Drosophila melanogaster: one gene and its partners. Changing the gene in region 1 together with any one later gene gives a genetic interaction. Each region holds a gene or a part of one and is shown in the gene's direction. Other genes may lie near its edges.

Region 1 (8,094 bases):
GATAAATGTATATTGCACTTTACTGCGCACGAGAATCAATCAATCTGGACCTACATCAGTGTCACAAGGACTCGAAGAATTTTGACGAAATACTGGGCATAGGTATACATTCAATTTGAGATAAGGAAACACAAATATCCAATAATGTTAACAAAAAGAGGGGGTGCGTGGGGATTGGGGAAGTACCATGGCTGACTCTTAACGTTGTCCTTGTATACAAACTACCAATATAAAGATTACAAAAATGCCACTGAATAAATTCTCTCTACCTGCGATATTTGTTTTTCTTTTTGGGATTTCTCTAATTGTTAATGGAATTCTTCAGCAACAGGGGCAGCCCAGTTTTGGTTTTTGATTTGGAAACGAGTATGGTGGCTGTTTTGGCTCCACCAGAGCCGGCTGCAGCAGCTTCCGCAGAGGCTGAGTTGCGCCTGGGTGCCGCCTGCCGCTGATGAAGCTCTTGGAGCAAAGCCGAATGCTTGTCCAAGGCCTTCAGCTGCGGCATGTTCTGAGTCTCGTAAAGCGACGACTGCAGCTGAGTGTGTATCGAGGTGACGTTGGAGAGCGTGCTCTCGGCCTCTGCGGTTGGAAAGTTGCTTAAATAACGTTTACTTGTCGTGCTTCCTGTTGTTGTCGATGATGTCGTTGTAGTATTAATCATTGTAGTCTGTTCCTGCACTGAAACCTGTAAAGAACGCCAATCAACAAGACGAAACTCAAAAGGCAATGTGCCGCAAACCTTTCGCATAAACGCCAACTCTGTGTCTCAAGTGCACTTGGCAATTTGTATAAGACTCTCCATATCCTTCTGCACCCCATACAACTCCGAAAGATGCTTGGCAAACACACCATTCACCTCACTCAACTTTGCAAGCTAAAAACAAAGTTTCATTAGCAAATTACTCAACATGATTATTATGCTTTACCCACCGTTTGGTCATTGGACTTTTCACGTAGGCTAATATTGGCCGACTTAAGCTCAAGTTCCTGTTGCATAAGTTCCTTCTGTAGTTGTTCTGTCCGCGCCTTGAGCGTGGCCACCTCACGACGCAGTTCGTCCTCTGTGGCGCCTCCTCCGGCTGCAGCCACAACCCCGCCGCCCACGCACAGCTGCTCCATATCTCGTTTGAGGCGAATATTCTCCTCCTTGTAAGTGTGCAGCTGGCGCTTCCATTCGTCTACATTGGCAGTTGATTCCTTTGGGAGAAAAAGGCCAAAAACGATCAGTTTCAATAAATGTGAGCTTATCTTATTGCTTACCTGAAGAGCACTAGTCAGCCGTATATTGTTGTTCTTCAAGGTAGCCAGCTCGATTTCCCATTTCTTGGCATTGGCGCAGCTGAAAAGAAGGCATTATTGCCTTGAGCCAATGACGGTCAACGCTTTGCTTACCTTTGTGCCAGTGCCATTTTCAGACGCTCGTTCTCGTACTTAAGCTGCTGCTCGGCGGTGGCGCCGGCTCCAGGACCCGTGTGCATGCCCACAATGCTTCCGCCAGACGAGATGGTCACTCCACCGCCACCAGTTACCCCTGAAGTGGGCTGCGGCGAGGGCGTGGCCGATCCGATGTCCGCCTTGACATCGCTGGTATTTAGAAGCTTGTGGGAAGGACTGTCCGGATTGGCGTTCTGGGTATTCGTGTTGCTCATGTTGGGCGGCTCCACAGTGTGCGGATCGATGGCTGTGTTGTCGTTCTGCATGGAGCCCACAGCTCTCCCGGAAATGGGCGACGTGTTCGCCGAGGTGGTGGGCGTGACGGCATTCGATCCGTTGGCCGATTTCATGGCATTCTTGGTGGCCTCCTTGACCTCCTGGAACTTCTCTACGAACTGTTGAGCGATATGATTAGTATATAAATATGTGAGACATATGCTAACCACTCACCTTGGTCAATTCCGCCTCTGAGGCAAATCCCAAGCCGTACACCGTGTTTGCCCGCACATCGCTCCACTGGCCGAACTTCTGGGAGGTCTGGGTGAAGGTCATGTTGGGTGTGATCGTCGAGTTTATCACCGCCTTGGTGCCCTCGACACTGATGATGCGGTACAGATTTCGCGAGCTGTCGTAGAAGAAGCTAACGTTGACCGCCTTCATGCTGGCCGTGATCCAGGTGCGCTTCGTCTTCGGATCGATGTGGAAGACGTGCGCCTGGCAGGTGAAAATCGGTTGTTCGCTAAGGGTCATAAAGGGATTAAAGCGACAAGCGTGTGATTAATTAAAAATTCCATTTAGAGCAGGCAATAAATTGTGCTTCTGTGCTCGTGTGAGTAAACTATGGCAAAGCATTCTTTTACTGTGGTTTATTAGTCAACAGGCACTGTGTAATGCATTTATAATTAGTAGTCCTTAAGTCCCAGGATAATCCTCGTGGTCCTTATTTGATAAAGTAGGTCGATATATGTTTGTTTTTTGCGATCTGGCCTGATGCAATGACAGTTTGTTGCGGGGCGCAGGGCCCCCATCAAATCAATTCCGTATCCGTGGTAGCCTCCAGTGCCTTTATTTGTACACATATACATATATATATCTTATCTATTACCTATCCGCCGACATCGTTCGCTGAGCTCTATAACTTGTGTCTTCCCGTTATCGCTGGCGACTGTCGACCGCCGACTAAATTGCATTATGTGCTAAGCCTTTTCCGCAGCCTTGCTTGTGATTTTTGATTCTCGGGCGGAAAACACGCACGCACACACCTGCACAGTCACACACACCTGCACACCCACACACATGTAATTGGCCTGCCCACGCGTGTGCGTGTGTAGGTGTATGTTTGTGTACATATATATGTATGTATTTACGCCGCCCGCTACACACAGAACGGCAGCAACAACAACAACATCATAGGGGGGAGATGTCAGCTAGTTCGGCGTCGATTTTTCCCACAGTAAAAACGGCAGGTTTAGGCCGGTTTGGCCGCGCCCATCGGTCTTACCCCATTGTATTCGTTCTTTGGCGCTGACTGAGTGCTTCCGCAGCAGTTTATACCAATGCTAGTCGGTTTTACTTATGAATTTCACGGTTAAAAAAAATAAAACACAAATGTCTAGAGCTGGAACCAAAATCGATGTTTGTATGGTGCTATCGATGTTTTTACTGGCTCAACACCATCGATGATTTATTTATTAGCTTCCAAGCATCGATAACACATGAGCTCGTATAAGAGCAATGATTCTTATCGAATAATTTAATCGCTGTAAAGCGAATTGCAAATTAATTAAGATAAATAAATACTAAATATGTTTGTCTGTAAGGCACCATAACAATGTAATTTTTTCAAAAACATGTGTAGCTGTTGAAGCATTGCATTTAAATGACGGAAGTTACAAAATAATTTCAGATAAAAGTGATAAGTTTTTTTGACTGTCTAGTTGTGCGCCTACATGTAGTTTGAATATTTGTTAGATATGGTTTTCTTTGTGCGGTGTGGCAGCATTAGTTTTAGTACACATTTTTCTAATACTTGACGATAGGTCAAATGGCAACTCCTGATCGGCAATAATATTTGCATATAATTTAGCTTTGAACATAAATAGACTGCCACAAAAACTTTAAAACAACACATTTTACTTCTATATTTTTTGGACGAAATAGAACCACTGAAAAAATTCATGAAATGTAGTACATTTTGTAGTGAAGAACCAGGGTTGGTTTACGGATTTTAGCCGTTTTGCCATCTGGTAACACTGACCAGTTTCTCATCGTTAAAAAATCCATTTGGAATTCGGTTTATTTAATTAAAAGCAGCCGGGACACCTATGCGAAGGGCAAAAAGCGGCCAGAGTTGTTGTTGCTGCTGCTGCCCAGCCGCCGTGCGATCGATCGGGGTACGTGTTCCGGCGTAACGAGGAGTACGAGGCGATTTTCTCGCAGCCTCTTTTTTTTCACACGAACGCCGTCCCACTAAACCGAAATTTCAGGTGAAAAACTCATTGGAACGCATTTAAAAGCGGCGTAAGCTCGCACCTGCTGCTCGTTTAACCCTGTTTCGGGTATATGTGATTGCAAAATGCGACAGCGACACACCTAGGCACACAAAATATGCCAGTTATGCGAAAGAGAAAAAGTACTGTGCCTGTGTGCGTGCGCGTGTGAGTGTGTATGCCGTGCGTGTGCCCCCGCCTGCGACAGTGTGCGTATGTGTTGGTGTAGAAAACTTGTTATCAATGCGGCGCCTATGATAAGTCTCATTAGACATGTTTCTCCCACTATGCTGGGTATTTCAATTGGAATGGCTAGCGAACGTGTGTGTGTGTAGTAAAATATCCGGACTCCATAGAATGGACATTTTGTATGAATTAATTGAATTTACTTTATAAATTCAATTAACATAAAGAATTTGATTTTATGCAGAAGAAGCTACAGCATTAAGTATCTCCCATATGCGGAATCACAGACAAAAATTCAATCACGCCAATTCATTTATGATCAAGGATCAAATTCAAGAAACTTTAGAAAAACGCGTCTAGTTTTTGTGCTTCGGTAACAGCGATAGTGGTACAATCTCCGCACAAAATGTACCTACAGCCAAAATCCTGTAACCTTTATTCCCCTCTCTGTCTCGCACAGTCTGGCGGCCCCAACTAAATAATGTGGAACATGATGTGCGACGTAATGCCCACGATATCCGAGGATAGCATCTCGCAGCGCTCCTCGCAGTTTAGCGGGGAGGATGCCAACTTTGAGCAGCTGATGGTCTCCATGCTGGACGAGCGGGACAAGCTGATGGACAGCCTGAGGGAGGCGCAGGAGCGGCTTAACGAGACGGAGAACAAGCTGCGTGACGTCGAGAAGGAGCGGGACAGCCTGCAGCGACAGATTAACGCTAATCTGCCGCAAGTAAGTGGCCTCTGCATGCTGATACCGCAGTTTACCTAAAATCTTTTCCTGATCTTTCTAGGAGTTTGCCACCCTGACCAAGGAGCTGACGCAAGCGCGGGAGACCCTTTTGGAACGTGACGAGGAGATTGGGGAGCTCAAGGCGGAGAGGAATAATACCAGGGTAAGTGATTTTCGAAAATTTAGATCCTTGGTATTTCAATTACTGAGACAATTGAGTAATGGTTAGATCAGGTAGATCATGACAAGATTTGCTAGACTAATTTATTAATTTAGGTATTATAGCCATTGCTAAATTACATATCCCATTGTTATTCAAACAAGAAACAGTTGTAGGTACTTGCTTTTGCGAATTAGTCACATATACCGGGAACAATACAAAAGTTTACTCTGTCCGTCTTCATTTTTATTTCGAACATGGCTTGTCTATTTGTTTACTTATCAGTGACTATACAAACATTGTTACAGCCTTTTAAGAATTAGTTCTTTGTATTCACATCCGTCTTAAACCATAAAAAGTGAAGTAAACTGTATTTATAAGTCCTTTCCGCTTCATTGAATATCAAGAAAATCAGTTTTAATTAAATTTCTACGGTAATTTTACTTTTAAAGAGACAATTTAAACGTCGGTTACTGCGTGAAATAATATATTTTTAATGATCTAACTTGACTATTTCAGCTTCTCCTCGAACATCTGGAGTGCTTGGTGTCCCGCCACGAGCGTTCCCTGCGTATGACCGTTGTGAAGCGACAGGCTGCCGCCCAGAGCGGCGTCTCCAGCGAGGTGGAAGTGCTCAAGGCGCTAAAGTCGCTGTTCGAGCACCACAAGGCGCTGGACGAGAAGGTGCGCGAGCGGTTGCGGCTTTCCATCGAGAAGAACAACATGATGGAAGAGGAACTCAGCTCTGCCAAGGAGGAACTGGCCCAGTACAAGGCGGGCGTGGTGCCAGCTGGCGTGGGCAGTGGCAGCGGAGCAGGGAGTGCCGCAACCACCGCCGGTGGTGGGGGCGCCGAGAACGGGCTCAAAGAGAAGGTGCGTTCCACATTCGAAATGCAGTCAAGCATGTCCGGTTTAATATATCTCTTCTATTTTCCAATACCCTAGATGGCGGGCGTGGGCGGATCTGGTGGCGTTAATGGCGAGGCAAATGAGCTGAACGACTACGCAGCCAAAACCCACGAGCTGCAAACCATTATTGAGAAGCAGGTGAAGATTGCGGATCTGTTTCCAGTCTGCATATGGTGAACACTTTTTAAAACGCTCTTTCCTTGTCAGACCTCGGAACTTTCACAATGGCAGCGACGCGTTTCTGATTTGAACAACAAGATTAGTGAGCTTGAGGAGAACATGTCGCGAGTGCAAAAGGAACACTGCAAGGCCCAAGACCAGTGTGCCAAGCTGCAGCGGGATCTGCGCGAGAATGTTGCCCAGAAAGAGGATCAGGTGAGTGAATAATACTCACAGCATGGTTTCAGTTTTTTACTTATACGTTCATTTTTAGGAGGAGCGCATTACCACATTGGAAAAGCGATACCTGAATGCTCAGAGGGAGTCTACATCGTTGCATGATCTCAACGAGAAACTCGAGCAGGAACTACGGCATAAAGAGGCGCAGCTCAAGGTGGGTAAAACCAAGGAAATTACAGCTTATGGTTAAGGCAGGCATACATATCTTTACTTTTATTCATGAGGATCGATTTTTTTTTATTATATTTCGATAAGCGCACAGTCCATTTGTTCAAAAAAATCCATTGATTACTCATTACCTTACTGTAAAGTTATTTCCAATTGAATAGCAGATAAATTTTTCATGATCTTACAAGTCAAGCAATTATCGCTAGTATGCTAGAGTAATGAAATAAAATTAGCAGCGAAATCTAGTTCGTATAGCATCTGTGATATTTTGTAAAAAATCGATCCACTCTGTTTCTAATTGTGCCCTAGCCTGCTCTTTCATTAAGCTCCCCTTAAGCGTGACTAATCAATTGCATTTACATACGCAACTATTCCCCCCGACAACTAATCGAACAAACACCCGCCCCAAATACGAACCACAACCAATCCATGCCATATGATCAATGCCGAATCCGAATCAGCTGCACGAGGAGAAGATCGGGGCCATCGAGGAGAAGCTGGAGCTCTCCGAACAGAAGCTCGCCCAGCACGCCAAGCTGCAGCCCGACATGGAAGAGCAGCTAAAGGCACGCATGGAGGCATTGACTAAGGTAGGAAACAAGGTATGCACTCGAACTAATATGCGCGCCGGACAGGTTCCATATGACAAGTATCAACAACAAATATTATCCCTTACAACTTCTACTCTGTTTTGTGTAATGTTCTTATCTTTTGCGTATTTTCTGCCACAAGAAACCACCAACAACTTCAACAACAACTCAGTTTCTATGTACTATACCTACTATTTCTATCTTTGTACTGCACCAGAACTTTCTACTCTAACGCACCCGAAACCAAATCAAAATCAGACCTAACAATTCTCTCAGTATACCAATTACGAAGGTTTCCAATATCTCATATAATGTGGTTATATTTGGTAGATATCAATTCACGACATTATACATTGTCAGCATTTATTTCTTATGTTTTAATGTATTTGGATTGCAATGGGTACCTAAGTGTAGTTGGTATACAAGAGAATATACTCACTATTAGCTTTCATTACTAAAACCAGAACTAACATTTTCCTCCGCCACTGATTAAACCGTGTGGACAAGTTCATTAAACTCGCTGGCTGAAACCATTTGCAGGCTCAAGAAAGACACGGTTCTGCAGAAGACCGCATCCGGGGACTGGAGACGAACCTCGACGAGAAGACCAACGAGGTGGTAAGACTGAACCAGCGTCTGAAGATGAACGAGGAGCACAACCTACGGCTTTCCTCCACGGTGGATAAGCTGCTCTCGGAGTCAAACGAGCGTCTGCAAGTGCACCTGAAGGAGCGTATGCATGCGCTGGACGAGAAGAACGCCCTCACCCAGGAACTGGAAAAGGCGCGTAAGGTGGCCGAGGAGCTACACCACGAGAAGAGCGAAATCATGAAGGAGCTTTCGAAGACGCGCCTGGAGATCGAGAACTTTAAGCGGCAGCTGCTGCAGCAGGAGATCGCCTACAACATCCAGCAAACGGAGGCGCTCACGCGGAGCCTTTCGCCCAGTAGCGTAGTGGACCCCAGTGGCGCCTTCAGCCGGAGCAATTCGCACGCCAGCTTTGAGACGCACTCCCTGCGCCGCCAGAGC
Region 2 (5,725 bases), on another chromosome or scaffold:
TCTTAGATTCTTCTCTCACTGCATCTGGCTCAATTCTTAAGGTTGAGGTCGTCGTAGTTGATTTTCCGCAGCTCTGCAGGCGGCAGGTTGGAAAAGTGGGCAAGGGGAAATGGAAAAGCGGGTAAATGGAGGGTTGCTGGGGGCGGCGACTGTCAGTGGGACACTTGGCTGTCAATGGCAGTTGAGTTACGACAAAAGGGAAGAATTGCATGGCAGAGACGTTTCCTTCGGCTTCCATGGCTTGTGGAATTTTTCACGCGTCACCTGTGGCAGATAGTGCTGCTCCCGCCGCCTCTTCTCGGCGGGAAGTCTTCTGTCTTGACTTTGTCGAGGGAGTCGGAGTTTTGCCATATATCCTAGGCCTTTTCCGATGGAGGAGCCGAGTTGAATGAACTAGCACCGTAATCGATGCGCCTCCGTGTGTGCGTTTGTTCTGCCGCCATTGTTCGGGATATCAGATACACATATCCTGGCACCGATGGCGGCGTCTGCCAGGAGAGCCACAAAAAAGGCAGCAGGATGGGCTCAGCAGCCGCTTGACATTCATTTGATAACATTTTATTAGCATCAGATGATGGCGGTTATCTCATGGCTGCACTTCACATTTCCGCAGGCAGACAGATGGCAACCACAATGATTGTCAGTCAAAATAAAGACAAACAGTGGCCGTGTCCATGAGTTTGCGGATGCGAAGGGTTCGAAGGGTGGGAGGGGTATGGCAGGAGGATGTATATAGGATATATCGGACCGATTCAGTCAGGTGCAAAGCCCTCTACGTGGCTGCGGCTAGTCACGTCTGCCACTTGTGCTTATGAATGACACTACACTCTCTGGCACGGAGCGGTAAAGGGATTTATCCGGTTCAAGTCCTGTGAGCTCAGGATAATGCACTGCAATGGCTCTCATTCGGATTACTCCACCCTTACGCGTTGATATGGCAATCGATTCCGCTTTGAATTGCATAGTTGCGATGCGGGAAAATAGGTTTGTTTATCAAGCCAATCGAAAGGTAGTAATTGAAAGGATTGCAGAAGAGGCAAAAAAATAACACTTTAATATGAAACTCAGTTATGAATCAATGTTTCCAGTTAAATGTAACTGCAAAGCTGAATCAGAAAGCCACTTTTATCACAGCTGTCAGAATTGTTAAGCCCTTTCAAACTCAATTAAACCATTTAGACTTTAAATGAAAATGCCATTTTCGTTACAATCACATTGAGAGAACAATAATATCAATTTTCATAGATGAGGCGATGCGATTTCTTTGGCTGAAATATTTTGCACGTGTTCATTAAATCTTTTCACAATAATTTGAGCATTTGCTGTCGGGATCATATTATACATGTTCAGCTTTGAGTGCAATACTCACATACTTTCGATTCCTTTGTCAATTTTTGCCGCAAATGATAGTGTACAGTCAGATTGTTTTACAATTAGTAGGAAAGCATGCAGACTGCAGTTGTCGTTGGCAACCTCAAAGTGCGCAACATCCCCACATTTACCCACTTCATCCTCATTTATTGTTTTGAGGCTTTTCATATTTTGAAATAGTAACTCCCCGCCTGTCGCAAACAGTTGCAACCACTGACATTTTTGGTCTTGAGATATTTCATTAGAGTAAAATCGGGCTGTGTGGCCCAACCACACAGTCTGTAAATTGTTTCGTCCAAGTTAAATTGCGGGGAAAATGTATTGTGGCGTCCAAACAAAGTACAATTTATATTGCTGATTAATTGAAAACGGAGGTGGTGTCGTTGCGATTCAGAGCCAGAGCTTGACCTTCGTTTTTGGGAGCGGAGGAGCAACAAGGATTCGAAAGGATTCTTGCGGGACGTTCGGATGGAAAACGTAAACAAACACTTGTCCAAGGCAAGGCTAGGTCGGGTTTTCGAGAGATCCCTGGTGGCTATTTCTCCAGCGATTGCGAGCTTTCGCCAATGCGCATGGGCGCTCTTGTATCCTTTTTCCCATCTCGCTGTGCCTAAGCTTTCGTGACGTCACATGGACGCCGCCAAAACGGCACTCGGGCCAAATGCCAAGGACTCGAGCTCAGTGCCATTCGAGTGATTCGCCCAGTGAGACGTTCCAAGCGCCAGAATTGAATTATTCCCCACATATCCTTCGGTCTCGCTCTCGTTCTCTCTTTCTGTCCTGCTCTCTTCGCGGAGAGTGTGTGCTGGTGTGCGTGTGTGTTTCAATCAAAATCAACAAGAGCATAGCCGAAAAAACTTTCAACCAAAGCGTGTCTAACAAATTAGAAAGCCAGAAAAACCAAATAAAAAAAAAACGAAAATAAAAGAACCAACATTGACTTCAACTGTTGGCCACGTGGTATGTGGCCTTCTTGTTTTTTCAGTCAGAATCCGAGGTAAATTTTTCGAAAACAAACAGACAGACACAGCATCGCCGAAAACAAGAAAAACACTGCGGAGAACAATCGAATTTTTGGGGGGGAAAAACCACCGCCAGTAAAATTCGGTCAATATTTGTGCGAGTGTGCGTGGAGTAGGGAAATTTTTTGGAACTTGTGTGTCACTCTGTTTGTTGTTGTTTCTGTGCGCAAATATAAAGGAAAACCAGCGAACAGCCAAATAGGGAAAAATCTGTGTCAGTCGCGAATTACGCACTATCTCATTTGGGAATTTCGGGCCGCTTGGGTTTTGTGAATGAATAATCAAAGTGTTTGCACGCATTTTTAAACCGATTTGCGCCTGTGCAAATCTTTATTAATTTCCGAGTGGTGTTCTTACTAATGACAACATCAGTAATTGCTGCCAGACACGAAAATCATATTTACCTGCACAGAGAGAAAATGCAGAAACCATTTCGTAAACGAAATAGGCTTACTTCTGACATATATCAAAGGAGCTGTGACTGCACTTTTAGTAATAACTTTAACTTGGTAGTGGTATGTTTGGTGGTTTTGAGTTTTTCAAGAAATCAAAGCCATATGGGTCAAAAGTATGCCACCTGGCTGAATAAATCAAAAGGAACCGGCGGAGAACCGCGGGCGGTAAATGTTGCATATTACGTGAGTTTTTACCACGACCATACGTTACGCATACGCCATGTGGGCCCCCTCCGAAGGCAGCAAAGGCTACCAACAGTGCGTCGCGTAATAAATCGCACGACAATAACTCACGGCACCCAGGAAGGGGGTTGAAATGATGATGGGGATTTGGGACAATAGAAGGGGTAAGCAACCAGAATCGGGTCGGGCTGTGACCAGGAAAGTCGCAAACTGAAAGCTATTAAGCCGAAAGACTTAAAGACTTTTGCTACCCACCTCCGGGGACGGTCTACTCCAGCCCCCTCCCCCGCCACAATTTCCCCTCTCGCTTCAAGCCAAACCACGCACACACACACACACACACACACACACATCCGTTTCCTGTGACAAGGAGCAACAACGAAAACTCACTTAGCCATGCTGCCTCAGCCTCTGTGTTCGCCAGACTCACTTGACATGCTCTTAATACCAAATAAAAAACAAGAGCTCAAGGACGCTGAGAAAACACTCCGTTCCACTTTTGCACTGCGAGTAAGGCCAAAACCCCCAACGCCCCGGCCACGCCGTCATGTGTAAATTTTTAATGTTACCAAGACCCCCAAATGTAGGTTATCAAATTGTGTTCAAGTTGTCTTCGCCAAAAGCGCCGTAGAAAAAGTTTTAGCGCTCGCCGTTTCCCCGGTTGGAAAACATTTTAAATGATTTTGTTGTCGGCGGTTGGTTGTTTTTCGTTGTGTTTCCCTTTAGACGCCCCCTGCCAATTGGGTCAAGCATTTACATTTCACGCCTAGCGAAAAACTCAGTCAGAACTATGCTACTTCGTCACGCCCCCATCCTGCACGCCCCACTCACCACGCCCCACCACCATTCGCCGTGTTGTGCAAGCTCTCCAACGTTCGGTAGTGGTGCATCTATTTAGTCAAATTAAAAACACAAATTCAACTCTGCTCTGCCGGCTGCCACTAATTAATTGCAAACTAAATGAGTTTCTCGGCATAAAACTTTATCCACAGCAAAGCTGATTGCTGTCAGTTTTGCGGCCGAAGGAGGAGCAGCATTCTACTGGCGATGTAGATTGCAGCGAAATCGCTTGGCAAAGAACAGGGGCGGAGATTGGTTTATGTGGCTCCCCTTCTCCCCGAGAAGGAGCCCTGGCTCAAATTGTAATTTGTGCAGCTCCCACACATTCCATTCTCGCTCCATTGAAGTTTTCTGGCTGAGAAAGGGGGGCGAAACCATCGAGTCATACAGGAAATTAGGGCTAAAAGCAAGTGTAAAACGGTCAGCGCAGTGAAAACTTTCTAGCCCGAAAAGGGAAAAATATTGGAAAAAATTCTAACTTTCGAGTCGAAAGTTCACAAATATGTGAATGGAAATACTCAGCATTCTATTTAAACTGCATACGTTTAGACACCTATTTAAGTAACTTTATACGTTCATTTTTAATTCAACTAAAATTGCGTTTGAAGGGTTTTTAAAGGAGGTCAATGCAATTTCGCTCTCTGACATTCCCCTCAAGTGAATGGCTGGGTTTAGTCATCATGTTATGAGTCACACAGCAGGATATGTACGGTCAATGAAGTTAGCCTTTCGGAAATAAAGTGTTCGCTTGCAGGTAATCGAATTGAATGCTGGCTAGCAGACGGCATCCAGGCTCAGCCAGCTGAGCCAGCTCAGCGAGTCGAGTTGAGATGGGCAGGACCTTAATGATGGATGTCAGGACGGACAGGATGACCAGTCACTCACTCATTTGGCATTGAGGGCACTGAGCCATTAAATTCCCACTTGGCGTGTGCGGCGGATTGGATTTCGATGGCTGCTCGCGGCGTGAATCTGTTAATTCAACTTATTAATTTTCATTGAATTTCTCCGTTCGCCACTGTCACAGTCACTGTCACTGCCAATGTCAATTGTCACCGAGTTGTGGCGCCCTAGGGCGGGCATTGACATTATGGCACTTTGGGGTGTGCTCGTTGGTCTGTGGTTTGTGCAATCAAGTCGGTTCGAATGGTTTTGCTCAGCACAAAATACTGCATTAATTTGCATGCATTCTGTAGGCCGACATTCAATCGATATGCCAAAACTTATTGGCCATTTGTTCGGCCAATTCATTTAAATCTTTTCCATCTCAAGCCTTTGATTTATTTAGAGCCTGAGCTCCGGCTCATGGAATGATAAATTAATAAATGTGTGCATTGAATCAAAGGCAACGGCAATAAATTTCAAATATTTTACCTCCCATTTTAAGAACGAAAGCCACAGACGCACACACATGGATACTTGGAATCGCCCTTTCAAATGAGCCTGCCTCCGAGTGCTGTCACACTGGAAGAAGTGAAGAATTTAATAGCCAAGCTGCCACTTAAGAAAGCTCCTGGAGAAGATCTTCTTGATAATAGAACCATTAGACTTCTCCCAGATCAAGCATTGCAGTTCCTTGTCTTAATATTCAACAGCGTTCTTGATGTTGGCTACTTTCCGAAAGCTTGGAAATCGGCGAGCATAATTATGATCCATAAGACTGGAAAAACACCGACAGACGTTGACTCGTACAGGCCCATCAGCTTACTCCCATCTCTGGGTAAAATTATGGAGAGGCTGATCCTAAACAGGCTGCTCACATGCAAGGATGTTACCAAAGCGATTCCCAAATTTCAGTTTGGCTTCCGGTTGCAGCACGGTACTCCTGAGCAACTACATAGAGTAGTGAACTTT
Region 3 (6,459 bases), on another chromosome or scaffold:
TGAAAAAAAAAAGAAACGATGAATAGTTTTATGATCTATCAAACAAAATGTAATTCCATTGCGCTTTATATTGATTTCTTAATGTTAACTACACATTTAGTTTTAGATATTTAACTGTGCTAAACTAATAGCAATCAATAAATACAACATTGAAATCCGATATCTCCGTACACGCATTCAGTCGCATCTCTTGGTCCTATCGACTAGTCGATAATTCTCATCGCAATTAAATGGATATACTTCAGTATATAAATAAAATAAAGTAAAATAAGCAAATCCGCTGGAATATGCAAGCGCGCTAGCCGAAAACAATTGGAAAATGTGTGCGGGACGCCAGGACCGACTATAGACCGTTTTCCGAGCTGGCTATGGTGACAAGGGACCACAGAACTGATAAATCCTAGGCCGACGCCCACTGAACACAGTTTCCTGTACAGGAGTGTAGTTTTGGATAAACGCAATTTTGGTAATTAGGGAGCGGTAGGCGCGCAGCTGGCAGTAAAGTACCTCCACTCTCGATTCCAGACATACCGGATAGGGCGCTAGCGAGCCCCAAACGTAAGCACAATGTCACAAGTAATACCAAACACGCCCACACCCCAAATGCTGACGACATCAACGCCCATAGAACCCATGAAACCACCACCAGCGTTTCCCACGATGAGCGGCGCAAACATACACGAGCAGGCGTCCGATATGATACTGCGGGCCTCGACGATTTTCGAGGACGTCAAGCACGACGAGGCGAATGTGGAGAATGTGCCCCATCACGGAGTTGAGACTGAGCCTGAGGACGACTCGCACTACGGCGGGAACGGCAACTCTAAGATCCGCATAATGCCCAGTGTGAAGCTAATGGCCACGACGCTCGCCTCCGATCCCAAGCGCAAGTTCGTCTGCCCGTATGACAACTGTACAAAGAGCTACGGCAAGAGCTCCCACCTGCGGTCCCACCTCACCTGGCACACGGGCATCAAGCCCTTCGTCTGCAGCGAGCCCAAGTGCGGCAAGGGATTCACGCGCTCCGATGAGCTCAACCGGCACCTCCGGACGCACACCGGCGAGAAGCCCTTCGAGTGCATCCAGTGCACCAAGAAGTTTTCCCGCAGCGACCACCTCACCAAGCACCTAGCTACCCACGACCGCCAGCTAAAGGGCAGCACCCCGAAGCGAACAGTACCGAGCAGCAGTGGTGGAGTCCGGCTCAAGCCCCCGAAGAAGCAGATTCATTCGGAGTCGGACTCGGGCTTCCACTTCATGGCCGCCATGGTTGGTTGCGGGGAGCCGAGCATGAAGCACCACCACCAGCAGCAGCAGCATAACCAGCACCAGCAGCCCGTGAGCATTATCGACATCCACCACAAGCCGATAAAGATTAAGCTGGAACGGCCGGAGCACAGCGACAAGTACCAGATCGTATCTCCTGAACACCAGATGGATAACCATGGCCACAACCAGAGCCAGTTGCCCGATTTCCTTAACCAGGCGAAGCCCGAGGTAAAATACGAACCGACCGAAGAAATTGTAAATACCCTCTCTCAGCTACCGCCGGCGGACGGACCCGGCACGTATGGGATGCCCCAGTTCGTTCAGGATCGGCCTTTCTACTGCCGGCAGTGTGAGAAGCGGTTCAAGCGGCAGGACGACCTCAACCGACACATACGAACGCACACCGGGGAGAAGCCCTACGCCTGTCAGCAGTGCTGTCGCCGGTTTGTGCGGAGCGACCACTTGAAAAAGCATCAGCAGACGCATTTGAAGATACGATAGTTTCATAGTTACTCCTTACTCCTTAAGTCGCTAGCCATTGGCATCCGCATCCAATCGATATTGGCTACCACACGGGCGTGTGTCGGGTGACGCACACAGTACAATAAAATTAAATAAATTCGCAATCTAACTATATTCCTATGCAAGATCAGCGCCGGCTCTCAAATCTCAATTTGTATGTATGTATGTAAATAAGTCGTATGCAATTTAATTTTAGCTCTAACTGTTTGTGTTTGCCGGAACGTGAAGACATACATCTGTATTTCTGAAACTCTTGCTGTTTCTTATTTTCTGGCTACTAAGCTCCCCGTATCTATTAATATAATTTATTTTAGTAAAACTGTTATTTATATTTATGGGCTAATTGATGGGGAACTGATAGTTCATCAGGATCAGGACTCGATCCAGTTTGAAATTTGGAATATGATTAATAATGGCCTATAAGAATGAATAATAGATATATGTATAATTTCTGATAAATCAAAGATTCATCGACTATCGGTTCGGTTGATAGAATCGACTTATCGATAACAGCATTATCATCACCATTGGCGTTTGATTCAGAGTTTCAAGCAATGTTTTGCACTGTTTAAAATAATTACACACAAGCGATGTGCGACTTTGACGCTTTGTGGGCGGATGTACTGAGAATCTTTCCGGTTTTGGGTGGAGCGGTAGGTTTATTCCTTCGGTTCAGTAATAGGGATTGGCGCTAGCACTCAGAAACTCTTACAGAACGCTGTATCCAATGATCCGGTTGAGGAGAATGTATTCCAAAATGTTCGCCAGCACCTGATGGTGTTGGGCAGCATAGACACCTTCGCGGCGGTTGTGGACCTGGAAATCCAGTCGACTATTCGGAATGTCCTGGTGCCCAAGTTCTGGAAGCACATCCACGACGGCTTGGTCTCGTCTAAATTGCAGGGCTGGATTAACGACCAAGCTCTGGCCATAGAAGCACTGCCCGATAAGAACGGACTGTTCACCCAGTTCATCGACGCCATCAATGAGCTGCATGACAGCTTTCAGAGCCTGATGCAGGTGAAGCCCAGGCTGATCCAGCTAGTTGGAGCTGAGACAAAGCCCACCGCAAAGACGGTGAAGCTCATGCAGGAGGAAGGCATTAAGAACTGCTTAAGGGACTGCTTGCTGGCTCAACTGCCACCCAATTTCAGTGTGGTCGTTGGGGCCTTCTACTGGGTGCACTTTAAGCTCTTCACCAAGGCCTCAAATCTCGCATTGACCACAGTTGGTATGTATCCGATACATACTCCTGTGGTTCCCATGCTCACTTGCTTTCCCCTTCAGACTCTGATGTTTTCGATGAGCTCCTCTGCGTTGGCTGCAACTTCGAAGCAGAGCAATGCTGCTGCCAAAGGCTGACGGATATGGTTAACAAGACAAACATGAAGCTCTTCGAGATGAACCTCATTGACCGTCTAACTGGGAGTGCTTTAACCGCTCTCATCAAGCTTAAAATCAAGGAGCACATCAGCGATACATGCATGGGAATCTTCGACAGAAGTCATCTTAAGCAACTGGAAACTGTAAGTTGAATGGGAATACCTTCTGTTGTCATAAATAAACTACTTAAGTAACTCATTTATTACCTACCTTTGCAGTGGCTATCGGATGTCATAATGTCCTGGCTCACAAACATATTCACGGAATGGAAGTCTAAGGATAGCATAAGCGATATCGAAGTTCCCGAGTCTGTAAAATCCTTCAAAGTCAAACTGACTTACTTTATGTACGAAACGTTTGCCCAAAGCGTTATTGGTCAGTTCTTCAGCATTATAATTGGTATGTGCCCGTAGATTCAGCCAAGAGTCCCCCAACTACATGTATTTATTTGTAAACAGACTATCCCGATTCCATTCCGGCTATAGATGACTTAAAGATTTGCATGGAGAAAATAGATATGCGAGTCTACCTCACTGAATCCCTTAGGAACTCGCTAGAGGCAAGGATTCTGCATCCTGGAGTCAACACCATGGACATATTAACGGGTTACGTGGCAGCCATCAAAGCTATTCGCCATCTGGATAGTACCGGAGTCATCTTAGAGATGGTAACTGCTCCAATCAAAGATTACCTGCGGAAACGAAACGACACAGTGCGACGCGTAGTCACTGGGTTGACTGAAGAGGGGCCCACGGACTTATCCGAGGAACTCGCCAAGGGAGAAACAATTAAGGAATGCAAGGACTCGGGTACCGATGAGTTCAGCAACTGGGAAAATTGGCAACCCGATCCGTTTGGTATAGATGCCAGCATTATGCAGTACAACAGCTCGCGGAAGATGAGATCGGCCGACATTATATCGATGGTTGTAGACATATACGGCAGTAAGGAGTTGTTTATGACAGAGTATCGCAATCTAATGGCGGACAGACTGCTGGCCCAGTTAGATTTTAATTCCGAAAAAGAAATTCGAAATCTGGAACTGCTGAAAATCCGCTTTGGCGAATCGCTGCTGCACAGCTGCGAGGTGATGTTGAAAGACGTAACCGACTCCAAGCGAATTAACGCGCACATCCACAGCGATGGCGACCGAACTGAAAGTGAGTTACTTTTAATTTTCAAAATGCTTTAACGAAACCATCTCATTTTAGATCAGTTGTTCGACATCTCCTCGCTGATTGTTTCTGCTCAGTTTTGGCCGTCCTTCAATAAAGAAAGCCTCCAACTTCCTGAGGAGATTGAGAATGAGTTCAAGAAGTACACCAAGGCCTACGAGGCATACAAGGGCAACCGTACGCTCAACTGGCGTACAGTGACTGGCCGTGTAAATATTGAAATCGAGATCGGTGACCGGACCATGGAAATGGTTGTGAGCCCCATTTTGGCGGTTATTATATACCACTTTCAAACTAAGAGTACGTGTTTACAGGGCAGTCAAGTTTTACAGTTTTACAACCGCATGGTCATATTTTTTTTTCAGATGAATGGACTATCGAGGATCTTAGTTCCATTACGAAAGTTCCAGCGTCTGCACTGCGGCGTCGTCTGAGTTTTTGGCAAAACCACGGATTGATCTCGGAAACGACACCCGGAATATTCACGCTGCTGGAAAAGGAATCGGAGAAGTCTCAGTACGAGGACATGAGTCTGGCAGAAGCTGACGAAGAGGATTTGGAATCCGCAATGGCTTCTGCCAGCGATCAAAGGGAAGAAGAACTCCAAGTAAGTGCCTTCAACTGTTCCTAATTCCGGCTTTTTCTTATACAATTATGCCGCAGGTTTTTTGGTCCTATATTGTTGGAATGCTCACGAATCTTGACTCCATGCCAATTGACCGAATCCACCAGATGCTGAAGCTGTTCGCCTCCCACAGCGGCGGAGTGGAGTTTACTCAGGATGAGCTGAAACACTTTCTCCAGCGAAAAGTCAGGGAGCACAAGCTAATATTCTCGGGTGGAGTTTACCAATTGGCCAAATAAGTTTCGGAGATCCAAAACCAAGTTGCAAACGACTGAAGGAATCATGAAATAAATAATGAATTAACGCGATAACATTTATGAAATTTACTGCTCCATGTTAAACGTACCTATTTTTTCAAACTGCCGTCTTATCTGTTTCTATTCAGAGCTTATCTCTCACCCACGTACACACAAAGTCTTTACCCAAACTTGTTTGGCTTGGGAATTTGGAACACAATGCAAGCAATCTTATGTGAAAAGAAGAACACACAGTAAAATACGTCTATTGCTTAATTTATTTCAAGTTATATTAAGGTATATGCTAATCCCGTTATCAACAAATTCAAACTTCTTAGGGCTCTAAAACTAAAGGCGAAGAAAAGTGTACGTGGTTTTGATATACTTTACAGGTTAAACAGTTTTTGGCTTCATAAAATCAATCACGAACGCAGTGGCTAAATCGATCACTTTATACACGCAAACAACTTGGAATTTAATGCTGTAATCGTTCTAAACTGTAATCTGTACATCAAAAGTTACTTCAGGTATGCGGACCAGCTAGTCCTCGTGCAAGAATCGAGCTTGGTAGACACGATCTCGGTGAACTGGAGTCAGGACGGCATTGAGAATGGGTGAAATCCGCCGAATCCGCTGCTGAAAGCGATCCCGATCTCGCGCCATTACCTGCCATTCGCTCTTTCTGGCAGCCCGATAAGCGTAGTCCCAGGCGAGCATTACGTGAACTTCGGGTTTCATGTTGAAACGAACCTGTGCGCATAAATAGGAAATTAGATATGCCCACTTATGCCGCGCAAAAATATTCTTCACCTTCTTGACAGGAGTCGAGCTGTCGTCGCTGCACTGGCAGGCCTTTAGCTCCTCGGTATTTTCATCCTCACCGCATGCTGTAAACTGCACGCTGCTGTCGTCGTCATCATCATCCTCGTCTTCCTCGACATCCTCATCCGCCTGCTCTGCGTCGTCCTCAAAGCAAATGAAGCTGTCCTCACTGCACTCGGAAATACTACGCTGCCGCTGCCAGGAGCTCTTGGCAGCCGATCCTTGCGAACAGCCAGCGTTGTTATTCCGGTCACTGGAGGCTTGACTAGTAGGGCAATCCTCCGCGGTATCCTTAAAGCCGTGGTGCGGATGCAGGTCAATAAAGAAGTAGCACGAGGACGGTACGCAACGCCGCAAGGCGTCCAACTCGATTCCCGCCATCTTGGCGCCCGGCGGACTCTGGGCGTTGACGCACTTGTGCAGGGCG

Evidence for each region. Genes that interact genetically often act in the same process or in processes that back each other up.
Region 2: of Liprin-alpha (region 1) and Liprin-gamma, changing one suppresses a phenotype caused by changing the other (phenotypic suppression), as found in Drosophila melanogaster (one study listed by BioGRID).
Region 3: of Liprin-alpha (region 1) and mr, changing one suppresses a phenotype caused by changing the other (phenotypic suppression), as found in Drosophila melanogaster (one study listed by BioGRID).

Annotation. Positions count from the first base shown.
Region 1 is NT_033779.5:6,720,258-6,728,351, forward strand, and holds the start of Liprin-alpha (Liprin-alpha), read left to right. Parts: upstream 1-3,645; 5' UTR 3,646-3,827; exon of another isoform or gene 3,828-3,920; 5' UTR 3,921-4,136; intron 4,137-4,569; 5' UTR 4,570-4,590; coding exon 4,591-4,839; intron 4,840-4,900; coding exon 4,901-5,002; intron 5,003-5,518; coding exon 5,519-5,872; intron 5,873-5,944; coding exon 5,945-6,046; intron 6,047-6,115; coding exon 6,116-6,283; intron 6,284-6,341; coding exon 6,342-6,461; intron 6,462-6,936; coding exon 6,937-7,077; intron 7,078-7,605; coding exon 7,606-8,094. Other genes in the region: homer, read right to left, coding at 767-874, 931-1,197, 1,261-1,339, 1,393-1,829, 1,885-2,173, 2,540-2,553.
Region 2 is NT_033778.4:22,351,031-22,356,755, reverse strand, and holds the start of Liprin-gamma (Liprin-gamma), read left to right. Parts: upstream 1-2,047; 5' UTR 2,048-2,368; intron 2,369-5,725.
Region 3 is NT_033778.4:23,970,128-23,976,586, forward strand, and holds mr (morula), read left to right. Parts: upstream 1-2,303; 5' UTR 2,304-2,381; coding exon 2,382-2,444; intron 2,445-2,505; coding exon 2,506-3,022; intron 3,023-3,078; coding exon 3,079-3,317; intron 3,318-3,392; coding exon 3,393-3,573; intron 3,574-3,632; coding exon 3,633-4,334; intron 4,335-4,385; coding exon 4,386-4,649; intron 4,650-4,714; coding exon 4,715-4,956; intron 4,957-5,012; coding exon 5,013-5,213; 3' UTR 5,214-5,281; downstream 5,282-6,459. Other genes in the region: CG3065 (uncharacterized protein), read left to right, coding at 568-1,770; PPP1R15 (protein phosphatase 1 regulatory subunit 15), read right to left, coding at 5,751-5,960, 6,021-6,459.